Linked DNA regions of Drosophila melanogaster. The protein of the gene in region 3 interacts with the protein of the main gene of each other region in a pairwise test. Each region holds a gene or a part of one and is shown on either strand. Other genes may lie near its edges.

Region 1 (3,754 bases), on a different chromosome or scaffold from region 3:
TTTCTTGCCGGAGTTCGACTGGGTTCCTCCAGTTGCGCCAGTTACATCGCCTACCAAGTTCCAGTTACCCAGCGTCCAGGTGTAGCACTTCACGGAACCATCGGCATGGCGCACCATCTTCGTTTGACCCTCGCGCGTTCCATTGGACAGAAGAGCCTCCGGACCTGGAAGGCTGAAGAAGGATAACCATATGTTTAGTTCTATAAGACAGATCCACTTGTAGCATACTCAGTTTTCTTGACGCCACCAATCTCCTCATTAATCTGAGACTTTCTAGTTGCCACTACTAAGTCGAAGGCTTTAAGGACTGCTTCACTTGCTTGGCGAGCAGGAACGTGGCTGAATACCCTCACCACACCATCGCTACAGCCGGTGACAATGTCCCCGTTCTGTAGGCACGTTACGGACCACACTGAAATGCCGGGATGGATGATGGGTGCTCCCAGCTCATCGCCGGTGATCACATTCCACATGCGCAACGTGCTGTCCTCGCCGCAGGAGACCACCACTTGGTCGCCCAGAGCCTCATTGCGAGCCATGGAGTAGATGTAGTTGCTGTGTCCGTTCATCTCGCGCACGCACTCACCATCCTCGTTCCAGAAGCGGAGAACAGCGTCATTTCCGCAGGAGAGCAGTGTGTTCGCATCCAGTCCCATGACACCCCTCACGCAATCCGTGTGACCCTTAAGCAGGCGCAGCTTCTCGCCTTTCGCGTTCCAGTAGTAGATGTTCCTGTCCGCACCACCAGTCACATACTTCCGCTGCTCCTTCAAGGTGGCCACCGCCCAAACCGCCGCCTCGTGTCCCTCTAAAGCAACGAAGGACACATCACCCGCCTCGCTGATGGTCCACACCCGAGCGGTCTTGTCCCAGCTGCCGCTGATGAGGCTTCGTGGCTCCAATCCTGCCGAGAGAGCACACACCGTGGACTCGTGACCCTTGAGGGTCAACAGGGGCACAAAGCCGTCCTGCTTGTAGATGCAGATGGTGGCGTCGTTGCTGGCCGTGCAGATCCACCGCTCCGACTCCAGGAAGCAGATGTACGAGATGAAGTTCTTGTGGTCCTGCAAAGTAAGGCTTTCCAAGTACTCGTTCCTATGAGGATCGAAGGCAGTTTAGTATGTATGTAATTCATAGCGACCAGACCCAGCCAAATCTCACCCATGGGGCTTCCAGACTTTGGTGCTCTTGTCCCGCGAACCGGACAGAATGGTCTGGCGACCTTCCGGAGTTGGAGGTCCCACCGCTACCGCCCGCACATCCATGCTGTGGCCCAGGAGCTCGCAGCTCAGCTTGTAGTTGTCCAACGATGGCTCCATGCTTGGTGTCCTGATCTTCCTGTTATCCCGTTCAAGCAGCTGCGGTCAAGAAATGTTACTTTGTTTGCCGGCTGTCAGCGATTTTGCCATTCGGTGCGAAAAAATCGCACACTCAGATAGTGGTGGACCGATCCGATGGGTTTGAGGTCAATAGACGATAGTTTCTGAATATTCTAACGGCCAAATTTATAAATTTAAAAATAAAAAAATTCTGGGTATTCGGAATATGTAATGTCCTTAAAAATTGTATATCTAATTTTTAAATAGGTCGAATACAGACAATTATTGTACGATAATAATTTGTTTTCAAAATGTTCGATATCAAAAAGGTTCATGAAGGTGGTAGTGTTGGTAAAGTTATCGATGCTCCGGAAAACTATCGAGAACGGCTTGATAACATTTGCCATCTCTACGCTTAAAAGTATTGTATTATTTTGTTTACATTTAAATGGGTGGCAAAAGTTATTATTGCGACTACTGCTGTTGCTTTCTGAAAAACGATCTGAATGTGAGGAAATTGCACAATGGTGGTATTGCACACGCAATTGCAAAGAGCAACTATTTGAAGCGTTACGAGGGTAAAGCTTTTGTTGCACGATATTCCCGAAAAAGCTGAATTTTCAATATTTGTAGATCCCAAAAAGATTTTGACTGAAGAGCGGCAGAAAACTCCTTGCAAGCGATACTTTGGCAGTTACTGCAAGTTTGAAACATATTGCAAGTTTACCCACTATAGTGGCGATAATCTACGGGAACTGGAGAAGTTGGGTGCGTGATAAAACGCAGATTTAAAACGAAAAATAACTTCTTCTTGAAAACTTTCAGTTCTCGCTAGAAAGAAGAGAAAATCCCGAAAGAAAACCAACAAATGCAAGAGATGGCCCTGGAAAACTCATCTGCGAAAGGGATTACCCCCTTCCTTGCAACCCATTAACCCGGAAAAACTCAAGCAAACCGACTTTGAACTCAGTTGGGGCTAAATATATTTACAGAATGCACACTTTATGTCAAGTATTCAGTATGCTAATTACTTTCTCCATGACGCGCGCCACTTTCAGGTTGATGCGCAACGTGCGAGCGTATTCGTAGTGATACGATTTCGGGGAATGCCCGCTTAAGTTCTCCTCGTCGGGATCGGCCAAGTGCGCAAGCAGGAAGTAGCACAAGTGTTCTGTACAAATAGGAAACTTTAAAGCTTAATCGGACTTCTTCAACTACTAATATACTAATAGACAGCAACCTACCCTGCTCCCCTTCCACGGCGTAGAAAAGCGGTGGGTTTCCGCCCCTCGCCTCGGATGCATTGATGACATCCCGCTTATGTGCACGGTTCTTTAGCAACGTCTTGTTCAGCTCCAGCCGTTCGCAGGCACGATCGTAGTACTTGGCGAAGCCCTTCTCGTCCCACTCATTCGGATTCGCTGCCTCCAGGGTTCTCCTGTACACCGTTTCCCCCAGCTCGCGCTCGTCTATACTATCAAGGATTGCCTCGACAACAAGGAACTGGTTATTGCGCACTGCCAGGTGCAAAACTGTATAACCATCATCGTTGGTTAGCAGAAGACTGTTCAAATCGATTCTGCGCAACAGCAGCCTAATGGACTCTATATTTATATGGTTTATCACCGCCAGATGAAGAGCTGTGTTTGAGTTCTCGTAGAGGTGGTCGGTCATCATGCGAGCGTCCAGGATGAGCGATACAATCTCGGTGTCCGTGTCGTTCGTCAGCGCAAGTTCCAGGCAGTCCTCGCCGTCCCTGGTGAGTAGTTCGTTGATGTCCATTTTCGCGTGGCAGCACACAAATATCTGACGCTTAACGCCGTAAACATCGCCGTGCAGTATTTCCTCGTGAATGGGTCTGAAGTGCCATGTGAAAAGATGATATCATTACGATGATGATGGTCTTATTCGGCTAAATGAATACTTACAGCAATCCTTCTTCGGACATTATGTGCGACTTTCTGAATTCGTTGGCCATGATGCGTATAATGCGGTCCTCGGTGTTTCCGCTTATAAAGTTTTCCACCCGGGTCAACTCATCGGAGTTGAACGATATATCCGACAAGGTAGAGTTTCGGCGTACAGGGGTTTTATTCGTGATCTGATATGATTCGAAGTTTTGCGCTTGCTGTAAGAAAGATATTTATAATAAAATCGTATATATATTTCCATTCGAGATTTATGAACTTAGTACTTTCCAGGAGGAACTACTACATCATAATAATACTTGTACTTACGGTGACATCCCTTTTCTTCCGTTTAGTGATCACGGGCGTCAGTTGCTTCTCCTCGCGCTCCTTAAGCGCCATCTCAGCCGCTGATCGCTTGACCACCTGTGGCACGCAGGTGTTTCGCTTTCTACCGCGCTTTTTAGGAACTTTGGTCGGATCTACTGGCGGTTTTATAGGTTCGGAACTTGAACTGGTCATGTGGCT
Region 2 (3,754 bases), on a different chromosome or scaffold from region 3:
GGAGTCGGCCAACGAGGTTATCTCCTGGGCGGATGGCTTCGGCTGCTTGTGGAAGTGCTGCTCCAGTGCCCCCTTCACGCTCACCTCGATGCTGGTGCGTTTCTTGCGCTTACGCCCCTGAGCGGCGATCTTGTCAATGGACGTGGGTGAACCCGTTGTGGAGTCCGCCTCCTCCAGCCACTTCTGCAGCAGCGGCTTCAGCTTGCACATGTTCTTGAAGCTCAGCTGCAGTGCCTCGAATCTGCAGATGGTCGTCTGGGAGAACACATTGCCATAGAGAGTGCCCAGTGCCAGGCCCACATCGGCCTGGGTAAAGCCCAGCTTGATTCGGCGCTGCTTGAACTGCTTGGCAAAGGCCTCCAGATCATCGGACGTGGGAGTGTCCTCCTCGCCGCCGCTTATGGCATCCCGATCGCCGCCGCCCATGTGATGGTGTATGTGCAGCTGTGGCGATTCCCCGCGCAGCGTATGATGCAGTGGCGCCACACTCTGATGATGGGCCGCTGCAACCGCATGGGCCGGATGATGGAGCATTCCGTTCATGGCATGATGGTACTGCAACGGTGACCCGCCCGTTGGCGCATAGTGTCCCGCATGGGGGGCATGCCAGGCGGCATGGGGCGAGGCCATGCCCTGTTGGATGCGCGTCTGCTGCGAGAGATGCGACATCTCCTGCTTGACGGTATCAGCGGCCGAGGCAACGGCAGCGGCGGCGGGCAGATGGTGCGTATGATGGGTTTGCATCCACGGATCCGGATGGAGGGCACTCCATGAGCCCAACCCGGAACCGGAACCCAATCCAAGTCCGCCACCATTGCCCTGGCCATTGGGCGATGGCGACGAGGGCAACTGATGGTGGGCAGCTGCCGCGGCAGCGGCATGATGATGATGATGGTGCTGCATGTACTTCATTTCACCGGCATCAGCCGCCGAGCGCGGCGACGAGGTGTGATAGCCACCGCCTCCGAGGGCCATGTCCAGATCACCGCTCGGCGGCGTCATGTACGAGGTCGCGGCCATCCCCACCGCTCTGGGGCTGTTCAGGCCCTCCACGCTGGCGGGGTAGGGCTCCAAGTTGGGGCTCAGTTTAACGACTTTGTACACCGATCGATCGAAAGGAAGACCAGGGTCCCTATGCTCATTCCACTCGAACCGTGAGGCAACCGTCTTGACGTCTTTTACGGGCAACGTGGCAGGCGCAAAAATATTCTATTTCGCTTATTTTGTTTTTTTTTGGGTTCGACGTTTGCTTTTTTGGGGGCGTGGCCCTCGAACGCGTTCAACAAGTTTATTTCAGCTTTGGGTTAAGTAAAAAATCCGACGGCAATTTGCTTGGGGTTTCACGTTTATTTAGCTTGACTAGCGTTGAGCTAACTGCGTTTTATTTGGTTATTTATTTAGATTTTTTTATTTTCGAATTTCATTTAGCACTTCTAACACTTGGCACTTTTTGTGGCGATTTTTCGCAACGATTTAAATCATCGATAGAACTCAGTGGTCAGAACGCAGAACTCTGATATTCAGATACAGATTGAGATTTCTCGAATGTGTGTTTCTACTGGGTTGCTTGACCGATTCGATGCCGATTGAGATTTGAGATTGTGTGTTGTGAGATTTGAGCAGTCAAGACAGCCGAGAGCCCAGGGAAAATTCACGTGCAGACTCGTAGAGCTATCGAAGTGAACTAACGTCATGTCTCGCACCGCAGCTCTACGTTGAGCGCTCTCGACGCTCGGCGGTACGTCACACCGATACGTTTACGCACACCAACGAGCGCAGTACGCACACACACCCCGGCGAGCGAAACCAGTTTGTCCGCTGGCCTTCCAGCGTTCCATGTGTGCGAGCAGCACCGCCATTGGTGCGGCAAGCGAGATAGACGCTCTACCGAGCAACTGGAAGGGAGACTTGCGCTCTATTGGGCTCGCTGTATTCCAGCGTTACGCCCCCAAAACCAACAAAAACAAAAAAAATATATGAGATGAAAAAATAATACCAGAGCCGGCTCTACGAAGTTCCCTCAGTGCATTCCCATGCAGAGTGACATTTTTAATTGCCCAGTGCCCAGTGCGAGCGAGAGAGGGCGAGAGATGATATGAACGGCGACGGCGCATCTCTCGATTTCTTCGAGTCCAGCTATCGGGAACACAGGGATTACACGTAGTGCCATCTCCCAGTTGGAGCTTTTGCGTCCAGGACTTCTCTCTCCCGTTCGGGGAGCTTTGTTTCAGTTCCTTGCAGCTCCTTGGCCAGACAACTTTTCCCTTGGCTTTGTGAGTGTGTGTGTTTGTTTGGGAGGGGGGACATCTGGAGTGGTTGCCATTGCGATTTGAAGAACATATTACTAACGTGGCGTAGAAAAGGAATTAAACAAATAAACAGTTTAAATATTTAACTATTTATCGTTCATCCAAAAAAGTGTGCATAGTAAAAATATTTAAGAGCAAATAATATTTGATTATCAATATGAAAAATAAATAAATCTTGAACTTGAATTTGGACAATTCAAATTTCGCTGAATTCTGTTGAAAATATTTTTTATATAGACCGTGTCCCATTAAATATTTAACCAATGTGTTATATAAGAAAATCTTATTTGTATTTTTTCAGTTTATAATATGTGTGAGTGAAGCTTAATTAAATTAAAGAAAGTAAATTAGTGTTTAGTATGAAATGATATTTAAAATTTTCGTTTAAAAAAATAACCATTTTACCGATGAATATTTTATAATTTTCTTTTTCATATGCATATAAGTTTCGTTTGGCTGCCTACATAAAATATACCTTTCTTTTCCACCTTGATATCTTTCTTTTGCTCATTGTGTTTGTGACTGTGTTTTGACTGCTTTACAGTTAAATTATGTTTCACTGACAAAAGATATTGATTCACTTCATCCGTCAGTTTCATTGATTCTATGATCAGTTTTGCGAAATTAATGCGAAACTAGCGATACATTTGCATAGCTAAAGGAATTGCCATCGTTAAAGTTATCATTGGAATACTGACTTTTGTTTCTGGCTGTGCAGTTTTAAAGTTTTTTGATTTAGCGGAGCGTTATGGGACAATGCGAAGAATCAAATGAAAAATATCCGTAAAAGTTTATGTTTCCTAAAACAATGAATGAATGAAACTCTGCACACAATCAATGGAAATCTATTTCGCCTTCAAAGCCAATTGCCGTCAAATGTATATATGCAGACATAAAATAGCTTATTTAACCAAATTTACCTTTCTAAAAAAAAAATTACTTATTATTTTCCCACTATTTCCCTTAAATATGTCAACATATATTCAGAATTTTCCCACTTAAAAAATATATTTAATTAATGCATAAAATGTTCAAAGCTACCCTCTCATATATTTTCTCATTTAATAAATCCTGGCACACATAACTAGCCCAAGAATCCCATAAACACCCACCACAAAATACTTAGCATAGTTTTAGACCCCTTTGAGGCAGGTCAAGAGCTCAATCAAAAAATTATGCAAACTAAGGTCATCCAGCCGAGCAGACGCAAGCCAGACAAGTTCGAGCGTATTTGCATGAAATTTGTTTACGTTTTTTTTTCCATGACCATATCCTTTGGCCACGCACTTGGGCATAATTAATAAGCCAAGCGTTTCCAACCCAAAAACCCCAGTGACAAAATAAAGTCACAGTCATTGTTGGTCCTTAGACAAAAATTTACATGATAATTAGGTGGCGGCGCTAAATAACAACAGCGAGTGAGTAAAAAACAAAAAACAAAAAAA
Region 3 (3,754 bases):
TGCTGCAATCTGGGTCACAGATTGCTGGAATGGCGGAATGGAGTTTGGGATTAGTAGGGTGAATGGCGGATTCCTTTGGTGGTTGCAGGACTTACGCGTCTGGCAAAGTAGTCCGGTATATCCGGGTAGGCAGAGGCATTCCAGTGGCTTGTTGCAGGTGCCGTGCTGACAGCCCGGCATCGTGGCGCATTCGGAGCAGGTGCGTCCAGCATAACCAATCCGGCAGCGGCACTCCCCAGGCGCTTCGCAATATCCACGGGTGCTGTGGCATCCGGTACGGCAACTTGCTTTGGTTGCGCGCGGATTGGAGGAAACAGGCAATTGAGTAATCGGATTGGACAGAGTTAGGAATGTTTGATTTGATTGGAAATGTCATATAACAAGTACAACCCCCAAAACGATATTAGTTCCCTATGTTTTAACTCCTTCTCTAAATGCTCCGTTCTTTAAATGTAAGATTGTAATCAGGCTTATCCTTTTCCGGTAACTACTTACGTTCCGTGCAGAAGAGTCCCGCCCAGCCAGGCTTACAGATGCACTCGAATGGCTTGGTGCATCCGCCATGTTGGCAACCTGGAAGCGGAATGCACTTGTCGCAGAGTTCGCCGCTGTATCCGATGCGACACCTGCATTCACCGGGTCGCTGGCAATAACCTGTGTGAATGTGAGTTCAGGGGTCACAAGATAGGGAATCATCTGAAGGAGTAAACATACCATTCATCGGGTCACAGCCCCTTCGACACATAGGCACCTGGCAAAGATCACCCTGCCACCCAGGAAGGCACTTGAAGTCACCTTTTTCATCGCAAACATAGTGTGCATTTTGCCGCTGTTTCTGTGATTTCTCACAGGCCTTAGGTAATCGAATATTTTCGGAATTGGTTCGAGAAAATTATGAACGTTAGGTTCTCCAACTTACTCGCTGTTTCCAGAGTGGAATATTCGAATTACTACTTTGCCGCGCATCGAAGTTGCGTCTATAGGCATTCATTTCCTCCAATTTGAGGGCGGTAATCGCGGTCACCAGCAGGAGAGCCGCCTTTTTGTCTGACAACATATCTAAGTCCGATTTAATAATAATATAATAAGTGTTTGTTGTTTCTATTAATAAATATAATATTATTAATATTATACGTTTGACTACTCCGTTAAAATTCCCTGCAAATAATGGCTTTTATGTGTACATAAAAAGCAAGATCATCTAAGTCGGATCTAACGACCTCTTCACAAAAAAAGTTTCTTAGACTTTAAACCAACTTAATGTGCTGAACTTTATGACTGAATAAAGAAAACCTAAGTGTAGGCCTTGTCAAATGTCTAGATGTTTTCGATTATCGGCTTAAACGAAAAGTGTTTTCGTTTGGCCAAACTTAGACCGTTAAAAGAAATCGACGGCCCACGGCCCCTCGTCGCAATTAACATGTTTGAAGACAACTTTCTTCGCGGCCGAACCAAAAAGAACGGGAATCACACCGCCGACAGAGAACCCGACAACCAAACAACCGATTTCTTGATGAATCACCACTGGCGAGAAGAAATGAAACTTGAAGAATGCAAATGCAAAAGAATTACTTTTAACGGTTAAGACTGCAGCTTCTTGTCGTCGGTCCGTCTCGGTCTGCGATCGCTTTGGGACTAATCAAGTAGCCGCCTCGTCGGACCAGCTGCCTCTGGCCGATTCTCGACTCTTTCTTTAAGTCAAGTCAAGTCAAGTCTTCGCTCTTCTCTCTGTCATTCTTCTGGCCTTCACCGTGAACTCAAGCCTCGAAGCCGAGAGGCAAAGCCAGAGAAAGAGCGCTGAAAGGCACCTAACCGACCATTGGTGGTAATTGGGTCAACCGGTAAACCCAAAACAGCTGAGTACTCAAGCACAGTGGGTCCAGATATGGTTTTTATGGACCACTCTACACTTTGAAAAAGAAGAAAACTAGGAAAACTTGTACCACAAAATCAGGAAATAAATAAAATCTGAAACAATTTTAAATTAATAATGTAATTATACTATAAAGATCTATATGCCTACATATCCAATCTATTAAATGCTTTAATAGCATTAACTATTAAATGTTTCTTTTTATATGCCCAAAAACTATTTATTTTATTTTATTTTACAATTACTTTCGACCCACTGTGCAGCACTGACGATCGAGTCACCAAACAAGTTGTAGATAAACCAGGATGGCTCAAGACTCTAGATTGGTAAATGTTCAAAGACAACATTGGTTTACTTTAAAATTATACTCGTTCTTTATTGAATGATCTCATTATTGGTTTAATTATAATTATAATAATTATTTCGACATTCGTGTGTACCTAAAATCCAGATTAATACTAAGATCCAAACGTTAATTCCGACTCCAGAGGGTTGTCTGCCAGTTGGGTAACCAAAAATTGTGGGCCTTAATCATTTGCTTTTGACAAATGTATCATATATGTTATGTTATGTGTAGAACGTGTGTGTGCTATATGCTTGCGAGTCGGGGGGAACTAACGATTAGACAGATACACTCGTGCACATCCACATACATGTATATATAGGTTCTTTCACTACGCAGCTCGACTCCATTTTCACTGTAGATGTTATGCGGTATTTGATGACTTAGTCTCTAGTTTCTAGTATTATCCGATCCGAGATCCGAGCGTCTTCACAGACCCCCAGCATTTATATTGAGTTGTTGATTGGGTCCTGAGCCCAAATGCTTACACGCGAGTGTTTCCTTAACTAATTAGAGAAATGCTAACCGAAGGAAGTCCACAGCAGCCGTGATATCAATATGGTTATATGATGAATATCATGTGTGTGGAGGAGATCATAAGTCTTTGGAAGTTTTTTTTTAAATTTATAAAGTATCTAAGAGAGCAGAAGTTAGTAGTCCGAAATTGTAGAACCCCTCGAAAACTTCAGAAATATGTGATATTCCTCCATATATACCCTATATTTCACTGGCAGTGTATCCTTTATTTCCGGTTCTCTTCTCTAGCGAGACAAACAAAAAAAAAAATCCTGACCTCATCACACATACATATACATACATATGCTATGATCTTCTTAATCCACTGGCTTAATGTTTAAACGCTTACATACGATGGGGTACTTTATTGATTTTGGGCCGGAAGTGAGGGGGCGTGGCAGGGGCGCGGGTGATATGATATGATATGATGAGTGGGGGAGACCGTACACCATAACCTACACGGAGAAAAAAAAAAATGGACACCGCAACTTGAGTGGGCGGCATGACCACGTCGCCTTAGACGAAGATGAACTGGGCGTGGCCGCACTTCTTGGGCGGACCGACGGTCAGACGGAGCCATTTGCCGCGGCACGACGGCGCCGGCAGCGCGCTCCAACGTGTCGTGCGTCCGGCCAGCCCCTCCCCCCGGCAATGGTAGGTGGGCGGCAGCGTGGGCGAGGGCGTGGCCGGCACAGCGCTGCGCTTTCCCGCTGTCCGGCGGCTGTGCGACATTTGCGACATCTGCGACTGCCGCTGGTGACGGTAGTCGGTACTCTCGTTGCTGTCCGAGTCCAGGGCATTCTGCAGGTCATCCTGCTCATCCTGCTCCGGCTCCTCATCCTCCTCCTCCGCCTCGCCATCCTGATTGGTCGCCTCCTCTTCGCTGCTGGTCTCACGCTGCAGTCGCTCCTCCTCAAGGTCATCCGTACGCTGGCCAAAGGCAGAGGCTGCGGATGAAACTGTGGTCGTGGACGGCGTAGTGGGTCCTTGTGGTGTCCTGGCGGTGGTGGAGCTGCCGGCTG

Evidence for each region.
Region 1: the proteins of C901 (region 3) and Plap interact in a two-hybrid assay, tested with the Drosophila melanogaster proteins (one large-scale study listed by BioGRID).
Region 2: the proteins of C901 (region 3) and vvl interact in a two-hybrid assay, tested with the Drosophila melanogaster proteins (one large-scale study listed by BioGRID).

The regions. Positions count from the first base shown.
Region 1 is NT_033779.5:1,168,467-1,172,220, forward strand, and holds the start of Plap (phospholipase A2 activator protein), read right to left. Parts: upstream 1,900-3,754; 5' UTR 1,898-1,899; coding exon of another isoform or gene 1,768-1,897; 5' UTR 1,762-1,767; exon of another isoform or gene 1,715-1,761; intron 1,614-1,714; exon of another isoform or gene 1,493-1,613; 5' UTR 1,320-1,492; coding exon 1,162-1,319; intron 1,096-1,161; coding exon 229-1,095; intron 173-228; coding exon 1-172. Other genes in the region: CG31922 (uncharacterized protein), read left to right, coding at 1,768-1,897, 1,953-2,087, 2,145-2,299; charon, read right to left, coding at 2,327-2,490, 2,564-3,177, 3,248-3,447, 3,557-3,754.
Region 2 is NT_037436.4:6,788,092-6,791,845, reverse strand, and holds the start of vvl (ventral veins lacking), read right to left. Parts: upstream 1,689-3,754; 5' UTR 1,021-1,688; coding exon 1-1,020. UniProt on the Drosophila melanogaster protein: Binds to a DNA sequence element required for the expression of the dopa decarboxylase gene (Ddc) in specific dopaminergic neurons. Could also play an early role in specific ectodermal cells, and a subsequent role in the embryonic nervous system.
Region 3 is NC_004354.4:10,965,496-10,969,249, forward strand, and holds the start of C901 (C901), read right to left. Parts: upstream 1,640-3,754; 5' UTR 1,573-1,639; intron 1,060-1,572; 5' UTR 1,058-1,059; coding exon 920-1,057; intron 854-919; coding exon 715-853; intron 655-714; coding exon 496-654; intron 288-495; coding exon 96-287; intron 25-95; coding exon 1-24. Other genes in the region: vex (vexed), read right to left, coding at 3,249-3,754.